Drosophila melanogaster: one gene and its partner. The protein of the gene in region 1 interacts with the protein of each later gene in a biochemical or structural test. Each region holds a gene or a part of one and is shown on either strand. Other genes may lie near its edges. The genes, in order: Ten-m and Pgant3.

The links.
Region 2: of the proteins of Ten-m (region 1) and Pgant3, one has a biochemical effect on the other in vitro, tested with the Drosophila melanogaster proteins (one study listed by BioGRID).

Annotation. Positions count from the first base shown.
Region 1 is NT_037436.4:22,404,740-22,409,983, forward strand, and holds the start of Ten-m (tenascin major), read right to left. Parts: upstream 3,125-5,244; 5' UTR 2,454-3,124; coding exon 2,153-2,453; intron 1-2,152. UniProt on the Drosophila melanogaster protein: Involved in neural development, regulating the establishment of proper connectivity within the nervous system. Acts as a homophilic and heterophilic synaptic cell adhesion molecule that drives synapse assembly.
Region 2 is NT_033778.4:7,056,950-7,063,786, reverse strand, and holds Pgant3 (polypeptide N-Acetylgalactosaminyltransferase 3), read left to right. Parts: upstream 1-2,054; 5' UTR 2,055-2,430; coding exon 2,431-2,564; intron 2,565-2,870; coding exon 2,871-2,971; intron 2,972-3,323; coding exon 3,324-3,504; intron 3,505-3,563; coding exon 3,564-3,730; intron 3,731-4,151; coding exon 4,152-5,410; intron 5,411-5,467; coding exon 5,468-5,629; 3' UTR 5,630-6,133; downstream 6,134-6,837. Other genes in the region: Tsp42Eq (tetraspanin 42Eq), read left to right, coding at 289-348, 419-592, 670-822, 1,006-1,203, 1,259-1,333; Tsp42Ep (tetraspanin 42Ep), read left to right, coding at 6,252-6,311, 6,371-6,544, 6,614-6,837. UniProt on the Drosophila melanogaster protein: Catalyzes the initial reaction in O-linked oligosaccharide biosynthesis, the transfer of an N-acetyl-D-galactosamine residue to a serine or threonine residue on the protein receptor.

The DNA of each region.
Region 1 (5,244 bases):
TTTGGATTCCGATTCAGGGGTGACCTTGCGGAGCTTCCATTTTCGAAATTAGTTGCGTGTTTCTCGTCTTTTTTGCCATCAACTTGTGCATTATGACGGCGGGGCTTGTGATTGGATTTGGAGGCCATCTGGAGTTGGACTCGAACCTGGCTGCGGTTGGCTTTTAATAATGCAAAGTGGCCGATTTTTTCGACCTAATTTGGCTAATTGGCAGGCCGACAAATAAAGCATTGAGACATTGAAATTTCGGTGCTTCAGCTTCGAGCGGATTTTCACACATCAACACAGCTTCAAAGTGGGGGAGGCAAAGAATTTTCCGCTGCTTCTCCGTCTTTCCTGTTTTGGCTTTTTGGCAATTTTATGACAGGCACTGGGGAGCAGGAAGGCGGGAAAAGCTGCTGCCTGGTGAAGTGTTGAAAATTTACGAGCTCCGCCCCGCCCCAATCGCACCCCCCTGGCCCACTTTATTCAATTTCATTTCTTGCGCCAAAGCTGAAAAGAAATTCTGCAAAAGTCTTCGGGTCTCAGGAATTTATTGTTTGCCAGTTACGAAATTTATTTGTTGCTGTAAATTTACAATTCTTTCGCCGCTGCCAGGTAGCCCAACCCAAACACCCACACGTTCGTGTGCTCCAGGTTCGATTTCCATTTGATTTTTATTTCGTTTCAAAGCTCCAATTGTTTGGCAATTGTTTTTATAACACCACAAAAACGCTGAAAGGCAGGAGAAGAGCAAGCGCGGCTGCGGTGGGATGGCTTCGATGAGGATGAAGAAGATGAGGAGCGGAAAATGGGCACCGGAGCTCAAAAGGGAAATGCCAGAAATAAAGTTATGTAAGTCCGCATTATGTGTAAGTTCAAATGCCAAGAAGCAGAGTCGGAAATAATAAAACTGAAGCATGTCGGAGCATGTATTTGTGTTTAGGTTGCTCGTGGTCGAGGTCCAGGGATCGAAAATATTGGATAGGTCTGGGAGTGGCCATGAAGACGCTACGAGGAGGCTGGCTGAAATCGATAATAGCAGCGAACTAACATAATCTAGAGTTAAATACGTGAACTATTGTCATCAAAACAATAGTTAAAAGTAAAGAATCTAAAATTCTGTTCTCATATTAAGAGGGTATCCAAGTAACTACGATTTTCATTCAAAATCTATATCAACATAACTTAGTGCCCTGATTTCTGTCAGTGTACAATCAGGCAGGCTACTGTAACCCAACTCCTCTCAGAAGTCTCGAGCATTTTCCAGCCGCAGGCATTTTTTCACAGAGCGGGGACATCGTCTGGGATTCCCCCTAATTCCTGTCGGCTGACAGAGAGTATCCTTTTCAACTGCGCTTTGTGCGCTGGCTATTGTGGCTCTCGCTTTATTAATCAGACAAATCGTGAAAAAACGCGCTCAGTCGGAAAAAGGGAAATTATGAAATGCGAAACAAGAGCGGGCTCAATGTCAGGCGAAGTCCAAATCCCACTCCCATTGGGACTGCCGCCTTAATTTGTTTAATTTAGGCAAAATGTTTGGCCGCATTCGCCGATAAGGGGCGTAATTTGTTCAAACTTGTCGCAACTTGCTGGAATTCGCAACCCGCACGATTTTGTCACCGAAAAAAGGAATAATTTCTGTAACTAGCAGATGACACGGTAGCTCACTTGAATTGCGTTTGAGAAACATTGGAATCCTTTTGCACATACATAATTTGCTTTTAACTTTTTGACTAATACTAAAAATACACAAATGCCAAGTAGCAATGAATGGTTTTAGAACCAGTCTATCCTCTCTCAACGTACGTAGCTAATAACCAAATGTTCTCCATTTTCTTAAAATATTGATATCAATTAGCTCATTTGATTTAGGCACGTCTGTCAAAGAATTCGGTGATGTATACGAAAGCGATGGAAAACGGATCTCAGTATGTTTAAGCAGCATGGTACTCTTATCAGAAACGCTTTTATATTTTTCACTGATTTCCAAACATAATTTAAGTTACAAATTCATTTAATCCAATTTATGCATTGTAAAGTATTTCCGCACATCCTAAACTTTTTTAAATCACTTCCAGACGCTCTATTTGGGCCACTAAATTCCGGAGTTGTAGCTTTCGGTTTGATTCCACTGACCACACTGCCCACTGGGGTCGGCATACTCACTCACCTTGTCTTCCGTGTGTCCGCTGCGCTGTGTTGTTGGCCGTGTCCGGCGGACGGTGGGCCAAGTGCTGGTACTCGTAGTCGTAGTGGGACGACTGGGCGGCGGCTTGGGCGGCCTGCAGGTTCTGTTGGTTTTGGTGCTGGAGCGTCTGGCTGCCGTGGACCGGACCGAGGTCCGTCGTCGGCCGCCCGTGGCCGCTCATGGGGAGCGTACGTCCTTGGGCGTGTGGGTGGGCGTGAGCCGGAGTGGGGCCGCCGCCCACGTCGCGGCAGTCTAGAGTCGACTCATACTCGTAGGGATTCATGGCGGTCGCCTCCAGCGGACATTCGTCGTCGTCCGTGTCCGTGCCGCCGTCGTAGATGTTGTCCGTGTGGCGGTACGCGTGATGGGCGTGCTGCTTTGAGAACTTAATCTTGGCGGCTTGGGGGCTTTTGGCCAGACAGCCGGACAGGAGAAGAAGAAGAGGAGGAGGACTCCGCACGGGAGCAGGAAGAAGAGACTTGGTATGCGTTTGGCTACTCGCGATTATTCATGCACTTGCTGATGCGGATGCGGCTGCGGATGGCACTGGACGCACTGCACTCAAAAACATTTCTACTGGGCCATTTCCAGACGGTTAATCTGCGGGCGGGCTGCTGGTCCCAGCTCAATCACAATCTGCCGCCGAGGCCGCAATAATATTTCTTGGGCCTTTTCAGTAGTCGTACACTGAAAACACGGGACACACACGATGGGGAGCACAGGAACGCGACGGGAAAAACGGTGTTTTTGAATTGACGCGGTGTGTTTGTTTGCGCGACGATCGTAAAACTATGTCAGAATTCGTTAGACGCAGGTATCATTCGCTGCCTGATTCCCGACGATTTTCTATATTTTTCGACTGAAGCAACGCGCTGTTTTCGCTACTTTTCGTATATCCACATTTTCCGCGACGACAATTCCGACCGTGCGAGGCGAATTTCAAAAGACGAATGAGCTCAAAACGAACGACGAACCGAGTCTGTGGGAGAGAGAGAGAGAGCTAGAGAGCGCAAGTCGCTGCAAATATGAGAGAAAAACAATATGCTTCATATTCTCTCTTTTTCAGTTAAAATGCGTCGCTCTCTCATTTATTCTGATACTGCGCATGATTTGTGAGAGAGAGAGCGGTCGCGCACCAGCGTTGTCCATTTAGCTAATTTGCTGATAGTCTGGCCTTAGCTGGAAATATAGCTATTTTGCTAGAATAATAGGTGCTACTTATGTAGTTTAGGTTAATTTAATTGCAAAAGAATCACTCCGAATCATATAGATTTCCAGTCTATGACAGCGTTATAGAAAAAGATATGCAAGGAAATATAATAATATACTTTTAATACTCTTGTGCTTCTGTTAAGTTACCATCAATATTTGTTCTCAATGGTATGTTTAGCCTTTTTATAACCAGAAGAGTATGCAGCACTCAAATGAGAGCACTCATCGAATCTCTGGTTTGAAGGTTAAAAAGTGCGTTTCGTTTGGCTAAGGGGAAATGGATGTACAGCGGATTCGAATCTATCGTGCTGCACGCCAGTTTCGTTAAGATTATCTGAGGCGGCCAACAGCGCTGTAATAACAGCTTCACCGGCGGCTAACACCGACACTGTTAATTTTATTACAAAACTGTTAACCGGTTTACATAAAAGTGCGTATACGTATACCATATACCATATACCATAAAATATCAATGTAAATGTGGAGGTATTTAAGTTATTAGGTACAAACTTTAAAAGATAGCTTAGTTTATTCTTTATTATATATATTATATATTATATAATATATATTATTTATTATTATATATATATTATATATTCTCTTTATATATTGCCCTAAAATATCTAGGTTTTCCAAAACCTCCGAAAACTTTTAACTTTCAGCTTGCATTGAATAAATTGCAGGTTACACAAAAATATTAAAAACTACATTTTTAAAAACAATGGAATTTGTATTTCAAGGTATCTGAACCTCCTGTGGCCTGGGAATTACACAAAACAGTTTTTCATTTACTAATTATGCTGTCAGATTCTGTGGAGCATTTTCACGCAGCCAAAAAATATCCTCAGACTTCATTAGCGCTAGAAAAGTTAGTCAGTGGCGGCGAGGGGAGGCGAAAAAGTTTCAAATCGCTGACAAGTGAAGTTGTCATTCAGCACCCAAGCCAGAACCGAGCGGACCTGGCCAAAAAGTGTCCGAAACAAACAATGGTGGCCAGCGTGGGGTGGGTAGGTGATGAGGGGGCCATGGCCGAGAAAAGAAGCAGAAAATTGCGTTATAAGCAAAGTAAAGGACATTTCGCTAATGGCTTAACTTTTGAACGCAGGTCTCATCCTGCCGCCTCCACCGACCGCCCCCTAGCCCGTCGTGCAGGCAATTCTCTGCCATGTAGCGGAAGTTGTTGCTGAAGCTTTTTTGACAGCTTTCCCAGCACGAGAAGGATACGGCGGGGAAGAAGAAGAGATGCCGGAGAAATTGTCATTTCTTTTCCGAGTCTCGCAATGTGGCAACGCCGCGTGACGCAAATTTTTTTGTAGTCTGAAAGTATTTGCATAGGATATGGAGTCTTGCTTTCCCGATTTTCTTTGCTGTCGATGAAAAATCAATTTCCTGTTGTATGCAAAAATGTTTGAGCATCATTCAAGAAAGGGAGAGAAGCGTTGCTCGCCTGCACTTGACACATTGAATATTATCAGGAGGATGTGGATTCCGAGGGGGAATGTGACTTCTGATTTGGCTAGTTGTCGTAGGTTTCGATCTGAGTCTTCGTACAGGAACAAACATTCTTGGCTTGTTGTGCATATATTTAATTAAGGGGCAATGGATTAAACCTTTGCAGTTTTTTGAAGTTGAACCATTTGGGTTAACATTCAAAAATAACTCAAAAATGGCTTAATTCATTGGCTGTGTCTACCTTTTTATACCTTTTTTTTAATTATACTAGCTTGTAACTATTATAAGCAGCATCTACGATTCCCCAAAGAACAGCGAATTTCAACAGTAGAATGTGATAGTTTTTTGGTGGCTTAAGCAGCGTTGAGGGACTTCACAAACCGGATAAAGTGTCAAATTTCTATTCCGGC
Region 2 (6,837 bases), on another chromosome or scaffold:
TATCGAGCGAATTTCCATGCTCAAGTGCTCATCAAATACAACAATTAGGCAGGGAGCGACCCTAGTCACAACGCTCGCCAGTGGATGGGAACCCAGCTCTTTGCGGAGAGCCTTATCAGCCCACAGGCCGGGTGCTTTTGATAACTCTAAGCCTCATTGGACTGCGCCGTTTGGCGTTTGCTGTTTGGTTTTTGGTTTTTGGTGTTGGGCGCTGCCTTTCAGTTGATTTCCGATAGCGAGTGCGAGTGTGGGCCAAACCGACATCAAGACACCTGAAAATCCACCAAAATGAGCTGCGGCACGAAGGCATTGAAGGTGTCCTCCTTCGTTTTGGACTTTCTGTGCTGTGTGAGTTGTTATCACCAAATCGCCAACTGATAGTATATTGTTATATGCCTCCTCTCTCTATCACTCATAGGTTCTGGCGGCACTGACCATCGCGGCTTGCTCCTATGCCCTGATTGCTTTTAGCCACAGCGTAGCCATCCGGGTGCCCAGCATCCTGGGCATCGTCCTGGGCGGCCTGCTGTTCTTCAGCACGATCTTCGGCTGCATTGCTGCCCTGCGGGAGAGTATTCGCATGACCTGGATCGTGAGTAGCGCTCTATCTAGTACCTAGTGGCCAGGTGACCTCCAATATTAACTCGACCGTCTTGCTTCGCCCAAAAGTATGCCGCAATACTGCTGGCCCTGGTTTTCAGTCAGATCACCGTCATCTTGGCCCAACCCATCAACTATGAGCTGCTGGCCAACGAGACCATTTACGACGCCTGGCAGGGACAACTTTACCACTCGGACAGAATGTCCTACTTTGAGATCAAGGTGAGCTATGTAGGGATCCTTGGAACCTTCTCCATATATAGCAGACATGAGTTCCATTTTCACTTTCTCGGAAAAGGCATTAGGAAAATGGTATCAGTTGGCTTTTTTTTTGAAATTTTATCGAAATCATTTCGCAAGCTTGTTATCTTTGTTTAACCAAGTACTAAACGGCTTTTCTTTTAGTATCACTGCTGCGGACAGACGGGGCCCGCAAACTATCCGGATAGTGGCCTGGTGATTCCGCAAAGCTGCTACTTCAACCAGAACGCCACGGTGACTACGGATCTCTATACGGTTGGGTGTAACCATCAGTTGGCAGCGGCCTTCGTCAAGGGAACTCGCTGGGAGAAGATCACGGATTGGTCCGTTGTGGGTGTGGAGGTAACTGAATCCGATCACTTGCGATCCTTCAACTCATATTCCAAATGCTCCTCAGATACTCACTGTCATCATCGCCGGACTCCTGGCTATAACCTTACAGAATGCCGAGCGCCGCCGTCTTTACCGATAAAAGCTGGCCTTAAGTTTCTACCAAAAGTATTAGAACTGTACGAATGTGAAAGTGTTCCTAATTATATGAGGGAGTAGTTGCCAAAACATGAATACATTAAATTGGTAACGTTAATATATTTCAACCGTATTTAAATTGCTCAATACAAAATTTCAGAATGTATGCAAGCACTTTTATAAAATTAGTCACACTTAAACCGATTCGTGGTACATTTGGAATGTTGTGTCGCTTTCGACGTCTGGGTCTAAGCTGTTTTTATGTGCAATACTATGTATAAGAAAAGTATGATTATATATTTAACAAGTCTATGAAGCTTATTAAGAAAATAAACAATTTAATGCTTAGTATATTTCAAGTTGCAGTTAGGTTAAATTTGCTTAACAGACTTAAATTTGCATAAGATTTAAAATCGATATCAATGCGCGCCGATACATTTCTTTTTCACCACAGCTATCGAGCCAGTGAAAACAGCTGCTTGCTCACAAGTGCTGCTACGGTGCTGCTAAAATATTTTAAAATTAAACACACGACTCACATCTCATTTCATTTGTACACAAAGAAAAATATCGCAGAACAAGTCTATGTTAAGCGTTTAAATAATGTGCATATAATTAAAACATGTTTTACCTACCATACCGAAGCACCTTATTGAGGCGAACAAACTCTTGATCCATCTGGAAAATAGCCAGACTTACAGCGCTTCTGGTTTCGAACTACTGGTTCCGTGAACTGTTGTCAAAAGTAATGAAATGCTGGAGAAAGCAGTAGAATGATAAGTTTAGGCCGTATTTGCACAATTACTGAGTAACTAGTGACAGCCGAACAAGCGCCATGTATTCATAAGCACCTGCCGCGCACCTGCCAATTCGAATTTAAAGCGGCCCCGGAGCAGAAGCGACGCATTTCTTCGCCGAGCGTCCGCAGAGTCGTCGGATCGGATCGGATCGGTTTGGATTGGATTGGTGACTAAAACAGTTGGACAACAACAGCGGCTTGATTAGTTGGCAGTAAACAGAGCTACCGAACGCACCGGTCATTCACTCCGCACCGTTTTGACCAGAAGCAGTTCCAGTATTGGTAGCCAATAAGCCACAGCAATGGGTCTCCGGTTCCAGCAGCTGAAGAAGCTCTGGCTGCTCTACCTTTTCCTGCTCTTCTTCGCGTTCTTCATGTTCGCCATCAGCATCAACCTGTACGTGGCCAGCATCCAGGGCGGGGACGCGGAGATGCGGTGAGTAGTTGGCCCGGTAATTAACAATGGGCCCATTAGGACGCGCCGCTCGGATTGCACAACTTCCCCTGGGGCCCAAATGGGTTGCAAAATGCAAGTGTTCCAGTCGAGTGCCTCGCCTCCGCGTTTTTTAGCTTCGATTGCCGAGGCACTTTGCATTCGATTTGGGTCTTGGGTCTCTGTTTGTTTTGACATCGCTTCGCGTGATTCGATGGGCCATTGTAAATGCTAAGTCTTAATATCGCTCCATTGTCACATCTTGGCTCATTTGGCTATTGTGGATCACTATGCCGATTTCCCGCACAGTCATCCGAAACCGCCGCCCAAGCGCCGCTCCCTCTGGCCGCACAAAAACATCGTGGCCCACTACATCGGCAAGGGAGACATCTTTGGCAACATGACAGCAGGTGAGTGAGATGGTTCCACCTAATCATCATCAGTTAAGATTGGTCATTGGGGTAATAAAACAGTTTATTTGTCTTTTATCATTCCCAGTTACCCTTAGTCATCAATAATAGACAGTGCCATTAAATGGCATTTCATTTTACCCTCTGCACAATTGGTTTAGGTGCTCGGGAAATATTTAAGACTTCTTTAATTACCTTAGTATCATTTTACTTTCGACGCATTAGGGAAGAACTGACGAACTTTGTTTTGAAACTACAACCTTAGTTGCACCATCGTTGATGGAAAATACCTAAAGAGAGTTTCCCTCAAATGACACAACATCAAAATGCATTAATCCCCACTCGCTTGCAGATGATTACAACATCAACCTGTTCCAGCCCATCAACGGAGAAGGTGCCGATGGGCGACCAGTTGTGGTGCCGCCTCGCGATCGCTTTCGCATGCAGCGCTTTTTCCGGCTAAACAGCTTCAACCTGCTGGCCAGCGACCGCATCCCACTGAACCGCACCCTCAAGGACTACCGCACACCTGAGCAAGTATAAGCCTTAGCTTACTGAGAACCTTTTCTAATGCATTTCTTCTCCTGCGCAGATGCCGCGACAAGAAGTACGCCAGCGGTCTACCCAGCACGTCGGTTATAATTGTTTTCCACAACGAGGCCTGGTCCGTGCTCCTGCGAACCATCACCAGCGTCATCAACCGGTCGCCGCGCCACCTGCTTAAGGAAATTATCCTGGTGGACGATGCCAGCGATCGCTGTAAGTCTGCATAGTATAATCAACGTATATTCCGAGAATTCCATCTGTGTGCAATAGTATTGTCGACCTTGGGCGAAGCTTCTTAATTTTGTATTACCTAAAGGACATTTGGTTCTATTGCCTGCGTACTATTCCCGCGAATGGTTTCAGTCTACTCCACCAAACGAAACTCCTAAGAATGCAATATATTTAATTTGTAAAACATAGTTTTGGGATGATTCACAATATTTGTTTCTTATCTTGAAAACGGTCAGTGTATAAGTTTACGTTGATTCATTAAAAGTAAATTCTTTGTCTAACATGCTAGAAAGTTAAAACTACGAAGTAATAAAAGAATCGTAACTCTTGGAATTTACATATAAATGACATACATTATGCGTATCTGTATATAAAACTTTCCTAATCAAATGTTCTTCCAAAGCATATTTAAAACGTCAACTGGAGAGCTATGTGAAAGTGCTGGCGGTACCCACGAGGATCTTTCGCATGAAGAAGCGAAGTGGCTTAGTGCCTGCCCGCCTTTTGGGAGCCGAAAATGCTCGCGGCGATGTGCTGACCTTCCTCGACGCCCACTGCGAGTGCTCGCGGGGATGGCTGGAACCACTTCTTTCCCGCATTAAGGAATCACGCAAGGTGGTAATCTGCCCGGTAATCGACATAATATCCGATGACAACTTTAGCTACACAAAAACCTTCGAGAACCACTGGGGCGCTTTCAACTGGCAGCTGAGCTTCCGTTGGTTCTCCTCGGATCGTAAGCGGCAGACAGCGGGCAACAGCTCCAAGGATAGCACTGACCCGATTGCCACTCCCGGAATGGCCGGCGGATTGTTTGCTATCGATCGCAAGTACTTTTACGAAATGGGATCCTACGACAGCAACATGCGCGTTTGGGGCGGCGAGAATGTGGAAATGTCCTTCCGCATTTGGCAGTGCGGCGGTCGTGTGGAGATCAGTCCCTGCTCGCACGTGGGTCACGTGTTCCGCAGCAGCACGCCCTACACCTTCCCCGGCGGCATGAGCGAGGTTCTCACGGATAATTTGGCCAGGGCCGCCACCGTCTGGATGGACGATTGGCAGTACTTTATAATGCTGTACACCTCTGGACTGACGCTGGGAGCCAAGGACAAGGTGAATGTTACGGAGCGTGTGGCGCTCAGGGAGAGGCTCCAGTGCAAACCGTTCTCCTGGTATCTGGAGAACATATGGCCAGAGCACTTCTTTCCAGCTCCCGACCGCTTTTTCGGCAAGATCATATGGCTGGACGGGGAGACAGAATGTGCCCAGGCCTACAGCAAGCACATGAAGAACCTACCAGGTCGTGCTTTGTCACGAGAGTGGAAGCGAGCGTTCGAGGAAATCGACAGCAAGGCGGAGGAGCTGATGGCGCTGATCGATCTGGAGCGGGACAAGTGCCTTCGCCCCCTCAAAGAGGATGTGCCGCGCTCATCATTGTCTGCAGTAACCGTAGGCGATTGCACATCTCACGCCCAGTCGATGGATATGTTTGTAATAACTCCGAAGGGCCAGATCATGACTAACGACAACGTCTGCCTGACCTATCGACAGCAAAAGCTGGGTGTGATCAAGATGCTAAAGAACCGCAACGCCACCACTTCGAATGTAATGCTGGCGCAGTGCGCTTCCGACTCGAGTCAGTTGTGGACCTACGACATGGATGTAAGTGTATCACAGCTACGATAATTGCATTAGTGCTAAAAATGTATTCCTCCACAGACTCAGCAAATATCTCATAGGGACACAAAGCTCTGCCTTACTCTGAAAGCGGCGACTAACTCGCGTCTCCAAAAGGTCGAGAAGGTTGTGCTCAGTATGGAATGCGACTTCAAAGACATCACACAGAAGTGGGGCTTCATACCACTGCCATGGCGCATGTAGAGAGTAGGATGTCATGCCGGTGCCAGGACATTTAATCCAATAACCCTGCCAGCAACTTTTTAACGCAATGTGATATTTATTGAAATTGTTTTAACGAAATTCACTCGTTAATTTGTTTATGTGAACAGTAACCAACCCACAAGCACACGAACTTCAGACACCTGCAGTCCTGTTGTCTAACAAAGCCTGATTTCACTGTCGCAATTTAATATTTAACTGCGCGTAAACATGAGCAGCAGCAACATATGTGTGACAGTGGAACCAGTCTTTACCAAACAATCGTACACCGATACAGACCCACTTGAATTGTTTTTAAAACACACTAACCGAATGCGTGGGAGAGCTTTTCTCCCCCCACGCATTGCGACTCTATCAATCTAGATAGCATAGTGGTATGCTATATCTACGTCATATTTATTAAGAAGAGTTAGAAAATTTTTAGCTGTACTTACTAACCTCGACCTTAATTTTTATATCACTTGAATAAAGCAATCGAATGTAGAGAAAGCTTCGTTGCAATCTGTTTCTCTTTCCCTGACTTCTTATCGCTGGCCCCTGGGAAAGGTCGCAATGCACTCGCTTTAAATTTGGCGCATCTGCCGCAGATTACACCACTCTCGCGATGAACGGCTGCTATAACACAATAAAGTACACGGGCCTGCTCTCAAATCTGCTCTATATGGTAAGTCGTACTCTTGCAACTTACTCTGGGTAAATTGTTTATAATCGTTGGCGTTGCAGCTACTCGGCATAGGAGTGATGTCTGGAGCAGGACTAGGACTGCAGATGGCGGAGCCCAATACGCCAGAGCACACTTATTTCGTGAAGAGCTTGGTCTTGGGTGGCTCCATTTGCATGATCGTGATGTTCGGATGCTATGGCATGGTCGCCAACTTGCTTTGTGTCAATCTGATTGTAAGCGAAAGGAAAGAGCGAATCCTGAATATGGATTACTATCCATAACTAACTGAACTCTCCCCACAGTTCACCATGTTCATACTGATCGCTCTGGCAGCGGAGTACCTTCAGCTGCACCACTATCACAGTCCGTCCCTCAGGAGCCCGGGTGGCGCCTGGCAGCAACTGGAATTAGCTTGGCATGGCCTGGACAGAGACCCCGAGCTCATGCACCAGTACGAGGCCTCCCAGCACTGCTGCGGCTACAATGGTGCCGACGATTACAAGCGCCTGCATCTGCTGGTGCCGGC